Linked DNA regions of Alligator mississippiensis. The protein of the gene in region 2 purifies or fractionates together with the protein of the main gene of each other region. This does not show direct contact. Links are inferred from orthologs where the notes say so. Each region holds a gene or a part of one and is shown on either strand. Other genes may lie near its edges.

Region 1 (8,171 bases), on a different chromosome or scaffold from region 2:
AAGCGATGACCACGCATTGATCGGGAGTACTCTTTGAGTAAGGAGCGAGTGAGAATTGAACAGGGAGTACTCGAGTAAGGGACGAAAAAACATTGAATAAGGAGTGCTCAGTGCTCCTCAAGTAAAGAACGGGAAAGGGCTGAGCAAGGAGCACCCCTTTGTAAGAGATGTACAAGCACTGAGCAAGGAGTAGTCCTTGAGTAAGGGAGGAATAACTGACTGCAGAGCAAGAAGTACTTGTGTCAGGGATGAGTATGTGTTGAACAGGGAGTGATGATCACTGAGTCGTGAGTAGCACATGAAGGAGTATCTAATATGGATAAGTAGCTGCTGGATAACGAGCGAGCAGCAAGTCACCATGAGCAAAGACAAAGAGGCGGGTCGGGATTTCCACCTGCAGAGTGCCCCTCTCAGACAGCGAAGGGATTGTCTAGGCAGCATTGGGCCTGCAGGGCTGGGCATGTTTTGCGGGCAGGGATCAGCTGTGGGGACTGCCTTGGACCCTGTGTATGGGCAGCTGGGGAGGAAGGTAATGGGGCTCTGCTCTCTGCACCCCCAGCAACGCTGTCTCCTGCCCTGGGCTCCATTCCCGCCCCAGCAGCTGCCAGCGCAGGGCAGGGAGGGGCGGGAGATGACGCACTGACATCTCTAACCACACACTCAGGTTGCCATGGGGACCAGTGACAGGATGTGGTGAGGCCGCTCACTGCTGAAATAGGAAGTGTTAGCTAACGGGTGTGTGCAGCCCTCAGCACGTAGAGCCTCCTCCTGGGACAGACCTGGTGCTCCTGGCCCTGTTAGCTCATCCCCTGAGACCCACTTGCCTGCCAGAAACCCCCCAAGGGACCCAAACCAGAGAAGACCTCAAGCTGGGTCCAAGCCAAAGGGGGAATTATGGGCAGTGAGATGCCATCATCTGTGGGGCTGGGACAGGGCAGAGTTACGGATCCTGTTTCCCAAGGGCCTGGAGAGCTCTGATTCAGATTGGATGTCTCTATCTTGAGCTCAGCCGTGCAAGCTGGCGGGATGCAGAAGGTGGAAGTTTGGAGAGATCCTACCTAAACATTGCCATCCCAGACAGAGGACACTGAGCCTCCTGCATCCTTGACTGACCTGTTAGCTAGAAAATATAATCCCTCCCCACCCCACCCCCACACACACCTTAACTCGTTTGCAGCATCCTATGTGTTTATATAGCAGACAGAGCTTGGAATTTCACCCCTGGTTAATCACCACTAAAGGGCACGGCACTAACCAGCTGCATCCCTGGTTAGCTGCAGTTACAACAGGCTCATTTGTTGTTAGCATCAGGCTGAAGCAGTTTCCTGGTAGATGCTCTCATAAGCCTCCTCTCAGACAACAAGGAGAATTTCACCCTGACTTCCCCAGGGAGCTTAGCTTTCCCAGATGTGAGCTGAGCCTGTCTAGCTCAGAGCCAGGGTTCTCTGCCTAGGGGGTGAAGCTGGGAGGGCCCCTGGGTCTAGCAAGGCTAAGAGAAAGGGGTTCAGGTACAGCTGATTTGTGGCTATGGGTGGTCTGTGCTGAACCACCAGCACTCAGGTGGGCACAGTGCCCTTCGGTAGGTTTTTGTGCAATGGGGCTGAGCAGGAGCATGCTGGAACTCAGGCTCAGAGCAAGGGATTGCCTTGGTTGGGTTGTGAACCTGGACACCAGGTCCAACAGGCACAACAGTGCCAGGGAGCTAGAGACCATGTACAGAATAGGACCCAGGTGTCCAAGAGAGAAGTCCAAGGCATCCTATCCCACACCTGTAGGGTCTATACTTCTCTCAGTGCACAGCAGGCTGCCTCCCCATTGCCCCAGCACTCCCAGTTGGGAAGGCTACCCCTGCCCCCCACCCCCAACTCACGCATTCTGGGCACTGCCACCCCCGATGAAGCCATAGCGATCAGTCTGGCGGTATGGGGGAACCCCATTGAACTCAGAGTCAGAGCCTAGTGAGCTGGAGTCCTCATGGTGCTCCAGGGCCAAGCTGAAGGCATCCGACAGGTCCTCCAGGGTGCTGTGGCTGGAGGAGTCAGCAGATGACATGGTGCTGGTCGCCATGCCCACGAGAGCACCCTGCAGGAGGGAGAGAGGGCCACAGTGAGTGTGGAGCAGGACAGCCCAGGACCAAGCACCCAAAAGAGACCCTCACATAGGCTCTCACCACAGCCCACCCCACTCTCTCCCCAAAGGAACTATCCACACCCCACCTCCTAAGCCTCCCCCTCGCCCCCCTAGGCCCTGCCCACCTATGCCCCTGCACCTCACCCCTCCAGACCTGCCTGTCCACAGCTCACACCCTCTTCCCTTCCTAGGTCTGTCCATTACAGGGCCTCCTTCCCCTATCACTTTAGTCTTTCTGTTTGGGGTGTTGCAGCCTCTTACCCACAGTGTCTACCCTGGGCGCCATTCCCCATGGGGTCTTCTTGCACAGCATCCCATGCCTTGTGCCCTCTCTGGGTCCGCCCATTTCCCCCAGCACCCCAGCACAGGACCCCATCTATGTGTGTTCAGTGTGTATGGGACATGCTGGGGCTGTCTTGCTGGCCATGCAGCATGTGTCCGACCCCTCACCCATGCAGGCTCCCCCACATCTATTGGCAAGCCCTCATCTCTAAATCTCCCTACACTCAGTGCTTGGGGAGTTTCTCAGAACATCCCCTCGCGTCTGTCCAGACACCCTGTGCTCCAGTCTTCCCCAGGATCCCACTCACCTTCCTTGGCCTCTAACTCGTGCCCTGCGCTGGGCTTGGGGGGCTTTCCTGATGCAGGATGCTGTGTCCGTGTGTCTGTCCCTTGCTGGCACCTCAGCCCCGGCGTGCGCCTTGCAAGCTGATTTCCTTCCCACAAGTCATTTCCTCCTGCACCTGATACTGCTGAGGCGGCAGGCAGTGTGTGTGTGGGGCGCAGGGGCCCATGGGAGAGAGCACGCAGGGAGGGGGCAGGTCCCCTAGAGAGGCAGTGCATGGTGTGGGCAACCGTCCTAGGGGGGGACACATGGCACAGGATGGTGGCAGGCACCCTGGGGAGTGCATGAGGAGGGCAAGGTCCCAGGAGTAAGCAGCCAGTGGGCCTGGGACTCGAGGCAGAGGGCACTCACTCTTTCCTTCCACCTGCTGACTGAGGCAGTACTGGAGTGACTGGGAGCTCCTCCCACAGCTATCACCCCCTACATGGCACTGTGCCAGGGGTGCAAGGCAGACAGCGTCACAGGGGGTTGTATGGTGGTGATGGCCTTAAGATCATGAGCCAGGCATTGACATGGGGTGCTGAGGGTGGTGCTGAGCCCCCATGGCAGTGTTGGATACTAGCAGTGGTGGGCAGTGCCTGCAGTCATTGCCAAGCAGTGGTGTGGGGGTGGGAGCCTCCTGCTGGGCACTGGCACTGTCTGACCCCTAGTGACACTGGGTGGCAGCCCTAGGCATGGGTGGATCTAGGATTTTGAAAAGTAGGGTACAGGTGGTGTGGCACATTGTCACATACAACACAACACTCTTTTTCTCCAACTAAAGGGAAACTAGAAGCTTTACTAATATGCTACGGGGCTAGTATGACAGTATTCAATTTGAGATCCAAGCAAAAGTAAACAGGGTATAACTGCTGGAATGTGCACTGATTTCCTAGATGATAGGAAACTTTTATCTTTAAAAAAGCACAGTAAATTTGACAAAACACAGTCATAGTCAAAAGGTATCTCATCAGTCACAAAGCCATCACAATTCAATCAACCCAAGTCCAGCATTCCTGAGCTTCTTGACAGTGCCTCCAGTACCTCACTGTCAATCACCTGAGGTAGTATGACCACACAGAGGTTAAAGTTTTTTGGCTAGAGCGGAAGAGTCTGCGAGGCTGTGATCCAGAAGAAAGAGGTGACTAGGCCTCTTCTGGATTAAGATCCAATGTAGTCCCTGCACTGGTCTGCTGCCGGGGCCGAGATCACTTTTGAATGGCAGTGTGCAATGGTGGGTGCATACCTGTGCAATGCACTGAGGACAGGACACCTTATGAGAGTCCACTATAGCCTCCCAGTGGGATGATCTTGGCTACACACCTACTTTATAGAAATGGTGGACACCTCCTAAGGGCAAGCGAGACTCGGGGACATCTGAACCCCAAGACCTCTGGGCTTGGGCCTGTACGTAGGATGCCAGCCAATGGATTTGGGGGTATCTGAAGCCTCAGGCTGAAGAGTCTGGGATGGAGGATACAGTGGTAGCGCCACATGGATTTGAATGACTGAGTTCGGCTCAATTGATAGGCTTTGGAACTGATTTGGCAAATTCAACCTGAAATATGAAATTAAAAAAAATTAAAAAGAGAGAGAGAGGCAACCAGGCAGCAACATTGCAGAGCAGTGCTGTAGCAATGAAGTTTGGTGCCCGGGGCAAAGCCCACAGCGGCAGTTTGCCTTTGCCCTGCGCACACATCTGGGGGGCACACGCCTCCCACCCCAATGCTTGCCCGGGAGTGAACGCAGCGGCGAGAGCCATCCTCCCTCCATCCCCCCCAAAATGAGCCACTTGCAGCTCCGTCCCACTCCCCGCCCCGGGTGAGCAGCACCTGTCAGTGCCCCTTCACTTTGGTGCCCAGGGCGGTTGCCCTGCTCACCCCCCGCCCCCCTTGCCCCAGAGGATGGGCTGGGGCGCAGGGTGGCCAGCTGGTTGTCCCCTGCCCTCTCTTGATACGAAACTGGACGCCTTTACGTCCTCTATAGAAAACTCGAGGACATAGAGGCGTCGGGTTTCGTATCAAGAGAGGACAGAAGTGTCCTCTACGGCGGCCACGGGGGAGCCCGGACCACTATGACCCCTGCACTCACACGACCCGCCGGCTGGCTGCAAGGACACCCCCAGGCCGCAGCGGGTGCTGCGCAGCGGGGCGGGGCGCGAGGCCTGGCGGCTCGGGGACCCAGCCCCGCCCCGCCCCGCCCCGCCCGCAGATGGGGCGGGGCGGGGCGGAGGCAGCAGGCGGGGGAGCGCAGGCCGGGCCGGGCAGCCATGGCGGACGGCGAGAAGCTCAACCTCGACTCCATCATCGGCCGCCTGCTGGAAGGTGCCGCGGGGCCCGGCCGGGGAATTGAGGCAGGGCGCGAGGGGCGGCCCCCTTGGGGCTCGCCTGAGCCCGCGGGGCGGGGGGGCACGTGCTGCAGGCGCCGGGATGGGCCTGGGGCGGGCGGCAGGGCTGCGTGTGCACATGCATTCGGGTGGGCGTGGGTGCTCACGCGCGTGGGTGGGTGGGCGCCTGCATGTGTCCGTGCGTGCGGGGGCGGGGAGGCGCTGCCCCCCCCCCCCCCCCGGTGACCCGCCCCCGTGGGCCGCCCCGCTGCAGTGCAGGGCTCTCGGCCGGGCAAGAACGTGCAGCTGACGGAGAACGAGATCCGTGGCCTGTGCCTCAAGTCGCGGGAGATCTTCCTGAGCCAGCCCATCCTGCTGGAGCTCGAGGCGCCGCTCAAGATCTGCGGTGAGCCCCAGGGCCCACCGCCACCCTTGTCCACGCATCTTGTCCCCCAGCCCCAGCCTTAGGGCAGTGGGTTCCCCTGCGGGAGGTTGCAGCGTGTCCTGGCTGGTGTTCGCAGGGATCGGAGCGGTCCCACCTGCACCTTACTCTCCATTGCTCCCCCCAGTCCAGCCCTAAGGGTGGAAGGTCCCCCTGCGAGAGGTCCTGGGGGTCTCTTGCTGAGGTGGGCTGGGTGTGGGGATTGGAGCAGCCCCCCCACCCCCACACACACACTTCTTTGTCCCCTATTGCCACCCTCACCCCATTTGTGGGGGTGGTGGGTTCCCCTGTGGGAGGTCTTGGCAGGTCTTAGGAATCCCTTGTTGATGCTGGCAGGGTAGGGGGGTCAGAGTGGTCCCCTGGCTCCGGCTGCAATCTGGGGGATTAGGGGAGGAGGATGCGGGATCTCTGGGCAGGGCTGGTAGGGACAGCATAGGTTCCCTGCTGGGCTGGGGGTCTCTGGGTAGCTGGTAGGGAGGTTGGAGAAGGTCTGTGTACTGAGGGTGCCATTCCCCCCTGCACTCTCCAGGTGACATCCATGGGCAGTACTACGATCTACTGCGGCTCTTCGAGTACGGGGGCTTCCCACCTGAGAGCAACTACCTCTTCCTGGGTGACTACGTGGACCGGGGCAAGCAGTCATTGGAGACCATCTGCCTTCTGCTGGCCTACAAGATTAAGTACCCTGAGAACTTCTTCCTGCTGCGCGGCAACCACGAGTGCGCCAGCATAAATCGCATCTATGGTTTCTACGACGAATGTGAGTGTGATTTCACCCCCCTCCCCCTGCCCCTATCTACCTGGACGCATGACTGTTCCCATTTGTGTCTGAGCCTGGGCCGTGCTGCGAGTATGCAAGCATCAACTGCATTTGAGTGCTAATGACCCTGGGCCCCCACTATTGCAACCTCTGCCTGCCTCCAGGTGTGAGCATACACCTAACTGCAAATGTGCAAACATCAACCACGCCTGTGCCTCATACTCGCATCCCTGCAGTTGAGGGTATCAGCTGCATCTCTGTCTTGTGCACCAAATTTCTTACCCTACCACACTCCCAGTCACAAGGGTGCACTCCCCAGCTGCAAGCATGTGGGCATGTGCTCTGGGGGCAGCTGATGTGGTAAGTGTGGTGCCTTCCAACTATGAGGGGGCTGCTTGTCCCATCTCCTATGGTGGCCCAAACCATGTGACTCTCTGACCTGGGTCTCCCTAGAAGGGAGTGTGCACCCCGGGAAAGGCAGATACTCTTAGGTGGTGGGAGCAGAAGGGGCTGCTGCTGTGGTGAGGCTCCCATCCCAGATATTGTGCTTTGCAGGCAAGAGGCGCTACAACATCAAGCTCTGGAAGACATTCACTGACTGCTTCAACTGCTTACCCATTGCTGCTATTGTGGACGAGAAGATTTTCTGCTGCCATGGAGGTGGACAGTGCCCAGGCCTCTAGACCTTGTGATCGGGAGGGGGAGAGGGAGTCCTTTCCCTTATGAGGCACTGCTGGGGTGGGGTTTGGGGGGAGAGGCTCCGCAGGGCTGTGTAGGGGTAGAGGGTTGCTGTGGGGGGGTCACTGGGGATGCTCTCCAGCAGATCAGCACCACCCCCTGCTGGGGTATGATGTCTCACAGCCTTATCCCCCTTTCTTCCCAGGGCTGTCCCCTGACCTGCAATCAATGGAGCAGATCCGGCGGATCATGCGCCCCACGGATGTGCCAGACCAGGGCCTGCTGTGTGACTTGCTCTGGTCCGATCCTGACAAGGACGTGCAGGGCTGGGGCGAGAACGACCGTGGCGTCTCCTTCACCTTTGGCGCTGAGGTTGTGGCCAAATTCCTGCACAAACACGATCTGGACCTCATCTGCCGGGCACACCAGGTACCCTGTACCCTGAGATAGAGCCATATTAGGGGAACTCAGGGGTGGGCTAGCAAGGGGTTGCGGGTCAGAAGTGAAGAGCAGAGCTGTGAAGAGAGCCTGTGGTTGGGATGGCAGAGAGCTATAGCGGAGGAGGCAGAGCCAGGGCTCCTGTGTGGGTTCCCTGCATCTGGCAGAGGGAGGGCTAAGTTGAGTCCTGGTGCCAAGCCCTTCGTTGTCCTTCTGCCTTAGGTGGTGGAGGATGGTTATGAGTTCTTTGCCAAGCGCCAGCTGGTGACACTCTTCTCAGCCCCCAACTACTGTGGCGAGTTCGACAATGCAGGTGCCATGATGAGCGTGGATGAGACCCTCATGTGCTCCTTCCAGGTGAGCCTCAGGCCAGGGCTCTTCTTCCCCACCCCTCCCTGGCAACCATGGCAATGAGCCAAGCTCTCACCCTACGGACACAGGCTCAGAGCTGGGTAAGGGTTGAATTTCCCTTCCCCTGACCCTGCAAGCATCTGCCTGTCTCCTGTAGAAAACCTTGATGAGGGAGGAGTTGGGTCTTGGAGTGGGGTTTCAAGAGACTCCCAGGGGCTCTGAACCCTGAATACTAACCCTGCTGCTTGTGATTTGGGGGAGGGCAGTTGTCCCCCCCACCCAGGCTGGAGATGCTGTCCTCTAGCCAGTGCCTCAGTCTGTTCTCGGGGTCTGGGGTACAACAAACTATGCCCTCTCCTTGACTCGATTCTCTTCCCCAGATCCTGAAGCCAGCTGACAAGAATAAGGGCAAATATGGGCAGTTCAGTGGCCTGAACCCTGG
Region 2 (7,951 bases):
CAACACATTCTAACAATTTTTTTTGCAAATGACCAAAAGCCGTAACAAATTAAATGGAGCTGCCACCCACTATACAATTTTACCTTTGTTTGATGTTAACATCTTGCTCAGATTTTGTTTACTCTTTGCACACACAAGAAAAACGAGATGTTTGCGAGTACTACCAGGACAGTTTATCGAGCACCTTGCATATACTCCCTAGTTTACACAGTCTGAAAAGGAAGCTTTTCATTATAGAAGCAATGACTGGGTTGTACCCACTGGAGGACATACACAGCTGGAATACTCCCTAACTCTACACACCCTGAAGTATACTTATGGCATCCCTCAGGGCAAAACACTATTTTTAAAACCAAGAGAGACGAGGCAGGTCTAAGCACCATGTTTGATACTGGTCATCCAACAGCTGGCTGGACTATGGCATCCGAAATGGCTAGGCACCCCAAGAACTATGAGTCTAAACCCAGCAGGATCAACTGGGACTTTCAACTTTCCAGAGCAGCTAGAACAAGTGTTCTGTGATCTTTTCCAAGAGGGACCTGGGGCAGAGCACAAGGGGGAGGGAGAGGAATGTGTTTAGATTTAAAACTAGTATCTCTCACTGAACTTAAAATGGCACTTAGGAACAGATCCGTCTTATCCTATGCACATCTACTAAATCCAGCTGATCCAAAATGTACCGAGTCAGCCAAAATGATGCATCACGCAACAACACGGCTGCAAATGTGTTCATGTTTCAAGTCCTCTCAAAAAGCAGGGACTAGTACAGAATTTTGAAAAGGTTCTCTTGTCCCAAGCATGAAGGACACGTGCCTGGTGATCTCCACTGTTATTAAATATTTAGCATGGCTGACCATTGCTTTTTGGGGTATAACTGAAGGCATCAATCAAATTCAAAGTGGCTGGAGACATGCCTTTCCCCAAATGCAATACTCCCAGTTATAATGTGCAGAGGTATTCAAGCTGGACTCTTCTTTTAAGAGGCAAAAATTCTACTGAGAAAATGTTCTCTCACCCCCCGGAGAAAGATAAGCTTTAATATTTACGGTACTCAACAAAACCTACTCATTCTCATGAGTTTTTGCTGTGGGCCTGGACCATGACAGAAGTGAGGATGACACCTGTAACTGCAACAAGATATAGGTTAGATATTAAAAAACTTCTACCTATTCAGTGCTGGAACAAATTACCCAACAGTTGCAGAACCTGTCACTAGAATCTCCTAAATGAAGGCTAGACAAACATCTGACTGTGATCGTTTAGAAAGGAATAACCCAGCCTTGAACAGAGGCTTGGATTAGATGATCTCGAGGGCCTTTCCATCCCCATCTTTCTATGATTCCATTGATATTCCAAATGTTTAACTCCAAGTATGTGAATGAGACCCTGAACCTAGTGCTCTGAAAAGACCTATTTTATGCACAAATTGAAATAATGTCTCTGTTTATTTCCCCTGCCCCTTGTTTAAGCTGGAGACACTGACTCCCATTATGTGCTTGTACAGTATTTGGTAACAAAAGAGTCTCCATCTTGGTTAAGGCCTCTAGGCCTTGTGATGACAATATATTCAATATCATTGTGTGTAAAACAAGTGCAAGCTCCTCATTACCCGCTGTTTTGAGGGAAAAATGAAATAACTGCCTCAAACTTCTTGAACCTGTCAGTGTGACAAGGACTCAGATGCTCACTGCATAGAAAAGATCTCAAAACAGGCAATATCGTTTTACAGCGTTTTACGACAGCGATCGATAGATCTAGCGATCGACAGATCTTCTAGTCGTGGCCTTTACACATTCAACTGGAAGAATTACACTATAACAGCACCACTTTCGAATCCTAGAAGTTTGTGGATACAGGGAGCTTCACGCAAGGAACGGTGTCAGGTTGCCTTACGTCAGGGGCGGGCAATTATTTCGTGTGGAGGGCCGCTTACTGAGTTTTGACGAGCCATCTAGGGCCGCGTGACAGGCAGCCAGGGGCCAATATATATTAATTTTATAAATTTTTTAGGGGCCCCGCGGGCCAGATGGAATGGCCTGGCAGGCCGCATCCAACCCACGGGCCGTATTTTGCCCACCCCTGCCTTAAGCAGACTCTGCACAGACAGATGGACCTGTACAGACCGACGAGTGTAGCGTAAGACCCTTGGTCAATTACCATTCCTACTCTTGTGCTCATTGCTATCTTAAGCAACAGTCAAATTACTACCCGTTTATTTTAAGAGTCTTTGAAACAGCTTTCAAAGATCGAGGAAATGCACGATTCCATTCACAAAACACCCCTCAGACGTCCTCGCCCGAGCCTGCTCCCATCGTTCCCACGACAGGTTCAACATCAGACGTGCAACAGGCTGCGGAGGTAACAGCGCCCTCGACTTACGTCCACGCCACAGATTCAGCTCGTCCTACGCACATCTACCAAATCCAAAACACACTAGACCAGCCCCATCATGAATGCGCGTCACCGACACGCGTCAACCCAAAGCCACCATTCGGCGTTCGCAAATCGATCGCGGACGCGACGCTGGCAGCCCTTCTCCGCCGCACACGGCACCTACGTAGGACAACCAGGCGCTTAAGCGGCAGGGGTCGGACTAGGCGCGACCTCGGCGGCGGGCCCCTTCCAGCCCTCCTTTGCTACGGTTTTCGGTCACGGGCCGGCGTTTGCTTTTCGGTGACAGCGCAATGAAACACAACGCAGAGGATGGGACGCTCCGGAGACTCGCGTCCAGGTCGCTGAGGCCAAGATGAAGAAACACCTTGGGGGTTTGGTTGGTTGTTCTGGGGTTTTTTCCTCAACCCCTGAAGTCTCTCCGAGAAGTTGTGCTTTGCAAGTAAGCTCCGCCCGCCCTCCCCTCGGCCTGCCCTCAACACCTGCCTCCCTGCGAGCAGCCGGAGCCCGGCCGTGCCCAGCCCCGCGGCTCAGGCCGGCCCTGCAGGCACCTCTCCCCGCAGCCCCCGCCAGGAGGGACCCCGGGAGCGCGGCTCCGGCCCTGCCAGGCCCCCCCTTACCATGATGTCTCCGCGGGGCGGGGCTGGGCGCTGGCGACTCCCGGGGCCGTCCGGTCTGCGTCTGAGCCAGGCCGCGGCCCTTCCACTTCCGCCGTTGCCTAGGAGTGAACATCCGGGTCACAGCCGCCCGGCCCCGGCCCCGGCCCCGCCCCTCGCCGCCACCCGGGCCAATCAGAGCGCGGGCTGCCGGCCATCGCCAAGTATGGAGAGCGGCCCGCGTTCTGGAGGGGAGGGGAAGGAGCGGGGCGCTGGGAGAGACCATTCTCTTCTCTGGAGGGGGGTGGAGATAGAAAGAAGCAGGGTTGAATGGAGGGATGAGCCCAACTGAAAGAACAACCTGAGTCATTAAATGGGTGAAAGGAAATTAAATCAGGGAGAGGAGACACCAAGGGGCTGAGGAAGAAGGGGAAAAGGACAGGGGGAAGCAACCAACTCCAAGGAGGGGGGGAAGAACAGAGCGCCCAATCAGGGAGGGGAACAGGGAAGCCCGGGAGAAACCAATAGGGAGGGGAACGGGGGGACGGGAGAGACCAATAGGGAGGGGACTGGCGGGGGACCGGGAGAGACCAATAGGGAAGAGAACAGGGGGAGACGGGAGAGGCCAATAGGGAGGGACACTGCAACGTTACACGCCCTAGGTTCAGGGTGGTTGGTCCTGGTGCAGCAAGGGGCTCAGGCTCTCTGCAGACTCTAGCAGCCTGTTGTACAGGGATTGTGCGCACTGGGTAGTGCTTTGGGGCAGCAAGGGTGAAAAGCGGGGAAGGGGGAGAGGTCAGTTAGGTTTTTAATTAAAAAATAAAATCAAGTTGGGAAAGTGGAACCCCCCCAGCCTGCACCCGCTGTGACCCCAGCCTCCGCCACTGGGAAGCTCTGGCTTCTGCCACTGAGGACAAAGCAGGAAGTAATGGTAGTAGGAGGCTGTCGCCCTCCTGGGAGGCAGTGGGAAGGGGGATGAGGCGCACGCCCTGCTAGTGGTTCTCGGTGAGGTGCTGATAGCAGGCGGGGGGGTGGGGAGACTCCCACGTCTTGGGTTCATCCGGGCTCTAGTCTGGAGGGAAGAACAGGTCGGCCTGCTCCTGGTACCCTGAATCCTGCCCCTCCCGCCCGTCCCTGTTCTGTCTCGTACTGTCCCTCCTTCCTCCACCCACTGAGCTCTGACTCGTTCTCTTTACTCCTAGCCAGTTCCAGTTTCTACCATCTTTGCCTTCCCGTTTCAGTATGTCTCTTTGTCTAGTCTGTTCTAGTTTCCCATTCCACTGTCCCAGTCCCAGTCTTCCCCCACTCCACTGTCCCAGTCACATTTCACCACTGCTGACTCCTTATCCTAAATCCTGCATTCTGATTCCCCAATTCCCCCCGATGCTCTTTGTCCAGCCAATTCCAGTCACCCTGCCTCCCTCAGAAAGCTTTCTTCTAAGTTAGCCTGGGTGCCAAGGGGGGGAAGGTGAGAGCACGGGAAAGACCATGTCTTTAGCCTCAGACCTGGTATCTGGCTCTAAAGCAGTTTTTAAAGATTCAATTTTAGGGAAAGTCCTGCTTAATCCGTAAATCGCCGGGATGTAGTATGCTCAGCTTCATAGGCATGTAGGAGCTAAAACAAAATAAAACTTTTTCAGAGCAGATGAAACATTCATGGAATTTAGCTGCCAGACTCTAGCAAACCTTTCCCGAAAAGGTGTGAGCTGAGCTTTTTTTTTTTCAAAGTTTATAACTCGGATAAAAATTCATGTGTTTTCTTTTTTCACCCCAGGAACATCAAGAGGCATATCCCTGACACCTGATGACCACACCACGTGCTAAACTGTAAGCCTCTGCTTCAAAGCATTAAGGTACTACAGCTTCTCAATTAAACAATTGTATGAATGATTTTTACATGAGCAGAGCACAAGAGGTCCGTTTAATCTCATTCTGGGGAATATCTGAAAGTATTTAACAAAACCTTTCCAAAAAAAATCAGCCTGACGCAAACACCTAGCATAGAAAATTCCAGTGCAAGCCACTAGCATTTTGGCAAAGTGATGGGAACTGGATCTTACAATAGGAAGTGTTGGGTAATTTGAAGAATAAATGTCACTGTCTGTGCTGCCTATAATATATATTAATTATGCTTAGATTCTGGAGCACAAGTTATAGCTCCTAGCTACGTAGAGGGAACATTAATTCATTCCATAGGCAACCCATCATTCTTATGAAGAAATAGAAGCCTTAATTCAGCAAAGCATGCAAGTACCTGATTAAAGTTAGGCGGGTCTTTGGTGCATTACAGTGCTTGTAATATGGGGACCCAAATGCAAGAAGATGAAAATCAGGAAGTCTCAAGGTCTGTGTGAGTAAAGTACATCACCACTCCACTCCACCCTGCTTCCAGCAAAATAACAATTAATTAACTGTTTCAGGTGATTTATTAAATCCTGTTATTTGAGCCAAAACTGATCCTGAATCTGGCCTCTGTGTGCTGGTATTTGTGAATCACTGCTGACACATGGTTTTGACTTTATGCCCAGATGTAACTCAACTAAAGTCCGTAGAGTTACCCCCAGGGGAGAATCCACTCCATTATGGGGCAACATTTTCCTCTATAGTTCTCTTGGAACAATTGTTTGGCCCATGTTTCAAAAGGGCTTGAGTGCCAGGTTTGTGAGGACCCTCTGCTGGTGCTTTTTGGCATCTGAATTGCAGGCTTGTCCCTAACATGAGCCAAAAACCCTCTTGTTGTTCCTTTATTTTTCTTAGCCTGGAAGCATGCTCTATGGAAACTGGAAATCCTGACAAGAGGAGTCACAAAATGCTTCCTTGTCTGATGTAATGTCGTGGGAGCTGGCATGAGCGTCTCTGATAATGGTGTGGGCAACACTTGCACGAAGATTGTAACAGAAACTGTGTATTTTCGGATGAATGGCTTCTATTTTTCCATGTAATATTATGTGCATATGTCCTTCTGGCAGGAAATGACCAGGGGGTAGCTCTGATTTTACCCTAATATGTTATCACAGTTGTTCATGACTTGAATCTAAATGCTATTAAATATTAGCTCCCATTTAGAACTTTACCAAAAGGACGCAGCTCTGCCAGTGCCCATTTTTAGTGAATTTAACAAACAGTATGCACTAAACAGCTACAGATTTCCATTTTGAAAATGACAGCACTGGATTCCCTGAGCCACAGTCTATACCGGTGTAAATCAGCAGAGCTGCACTGAAGCCAGTAGCGCTATGTCACTTTGCATAATAATTTGACCTCCTCATTCTTGCCTCAAAACACTCATATGAGGTAGGCAAAGATTATTAGGCTTTTAATTTAGCAGATCTGCTGTACAGCTTCTCTCTGCTCTCAGGCTCTTATTGCGCCTCTGTGGTCAGCAAAGGAACATACAGCAAGAGAGAGAGAAACTGCAGCCGGGTGTATTTTAAACAATTTCCAAAATCCAAACGAATGTTGAGGCCAAGAGGATGTTTTCCTTAGTGGCAGAAATACAAGCATCCTGGATTCTGTTTTCCTGCTAATAGGTATAAAGACGAATAAACAGCTGCTTTCTGTTTTCCCAAAAATATTTGCATTAAGATGATCTGCAAATTCCTGCTCAGATTGATGGAACATCTCTTCAAATGAGGACCAGCTGCTTGCTCTGTTTGTTTATGGCAGGACATGCTTAAGAGACCTTTTTTTTTTTTTGTTTGTTTATCAAAATGTGGGACCAGACTCTTTCTGGTGGGCTGTAATCGCAGTGTGGGTGATGTCTGAATAAGGGGCGAGTCTGTGCATGTAACTGTGGTTGCAGCCATCCCACCTTCTGCTGTGATTTTCTGCGATTGTCAGCTAACCGAAGTTGGACTAGGGCTATTCGTGAACGGGAGGCTTCCAAGAAATGCCAAAACAGAGCAAGAGGAAGTGACATCGTTGTTACTGAACTGTTCCAAGTGGTATACTATCTAAAGGTATTGCCTTTAGTATGAGAGATTTAAAAAGGCTTTCTAATTTGGTACCCTTAAAAAGCGCACAGTATTAATTTCCAAGAATATATATGATGTTAACTGCAAGGTGCTGGGGTAATAATACAAAACTGAGCAGTGGCATGCTCTTGGCTTAAGTTCCCTTTGTAGTTTGCAGTTGGATACAGGATTTTTGCCTTCCATTCCACGTTGCACAGAAACTACTTTGCAACAATATTAAACAGTTGTGTTCCTCCCTAGAGCTGGTTGCACTTCATGGCTGAAGAAGCAACCCTTGTGCATCCTGTTGTCCCTATATTGTTTTTCAAATTGCCTATAAAATACCACAGGGATTTATGATTTTGTGGAACCAATAATATTAATAAATCAACATATAACGGTTTTTAAAGGGCACAGATTAAAGGCACAATATGAGGAATAACAGTAGCATCACCTTTGCCAATGACTGGCTTTCTCTCAACGGAAGTGATTTGCTGCTGTTCTTGAAAGCAGACTGAGATGAGTTTATGCAGTTCTCTTGTAGTAGCTACATGAATATAAAGGTCACAGAGACGCAGCTGGAGCAGAGAGAAGAGGAAACTGGAAATCCTCTGAGTCTCTGGTCAAGGAAATTCCTGGGACTGACACGGTGCTGTACCAAAGAGTGAAACCTGAAGAAAACAAAGGAAAGCACAGGATGAAATCCAGGATTAAACATTACCCAGGAGAAGAAACTTCAGGGTAGGGTCGCCTGCAAAGGATGCCTCGCAACCGGCAGTTGAAGAGGCAGTCTCTCTGGCAACCAGAAGGCAGGATGAGGAAATGAAGGAGACAGAAGGCAATATGGATAAACACTATTAGCAGCGGGAGTTTGTGAGAGCACAGAGAGCTTATAGATAGGGACCAGGTTCTGGGCTGTTCTGCACTCTGTATAGTTATTCCATCTGTGCAAAGTGAGTACAAAGTGCTACTAAATAAAGAACGGCAGGAGGTTACACTCACATTGTGCTC

Evidence for each region.
Region 1: the proteins of CAPZB (region 2) and PPP1CA purify together in Homo sapiens (affinity purification with mass spectrometry; 3 studies listed by BioGRID and IntAct, with this or other methods). This does not show direct contact. The link is inferred for Alligator mississippiensis from reciprocal best matches to the Homo sapiens genes CAPZB and PPP1CA.

What each region holds. Positions count from the first base shown.
Region 1 is NC_081825.1:176,232,793-176,240,963, reverse strand, and holds the start of PPP1CA (serine/threonine-protein phosphatase PP1-alpha catalytic subunit), read left to right. Parts: upstream 1-4,950; 5' UTR 4,951-5,003; coding exon 5,004-5,058; intron 5,059-5,334; coding exon 5,335-5,466; intron 5,467-6,031; coding exon 6,032-6,262; intron 6,263-6,817; coding exon 6,818-6,922; intron 6,923-7,145; coding exon 7,146-7,369; intron 7,370-7,600; coding exon 7,601-7,735; intron 7,736-8,109; coding exon 8,110-8,171. Other genes in the region: TBC1D10C (carabin), read right to left, coding at 1,871-2,067. UniProt on the Homo sapiens protein: Protein phosphatase that associates with over 200 regulatory proteins to form highly specific holoenzymes which dephosphorylate hundreds of biological targets.
Region 2 is NC_081836.1:5,010,969-5,018,919, forward strand, and holds the start of CAPZB (F-actin-capping protein subunit beta), read right to left. Parts: upstream 3,123-7,951; 5' UTR 3,015-3,122; coding exon 3,012-3,014; intron 1-3,011. UniProt on the Homo sapiens protein: F-actin-capping proteins bind in a Ca(2+)-independent manner to the fast growing ends of actin filaments (barbed end) thereby blocking the exchange of subunits at these ends.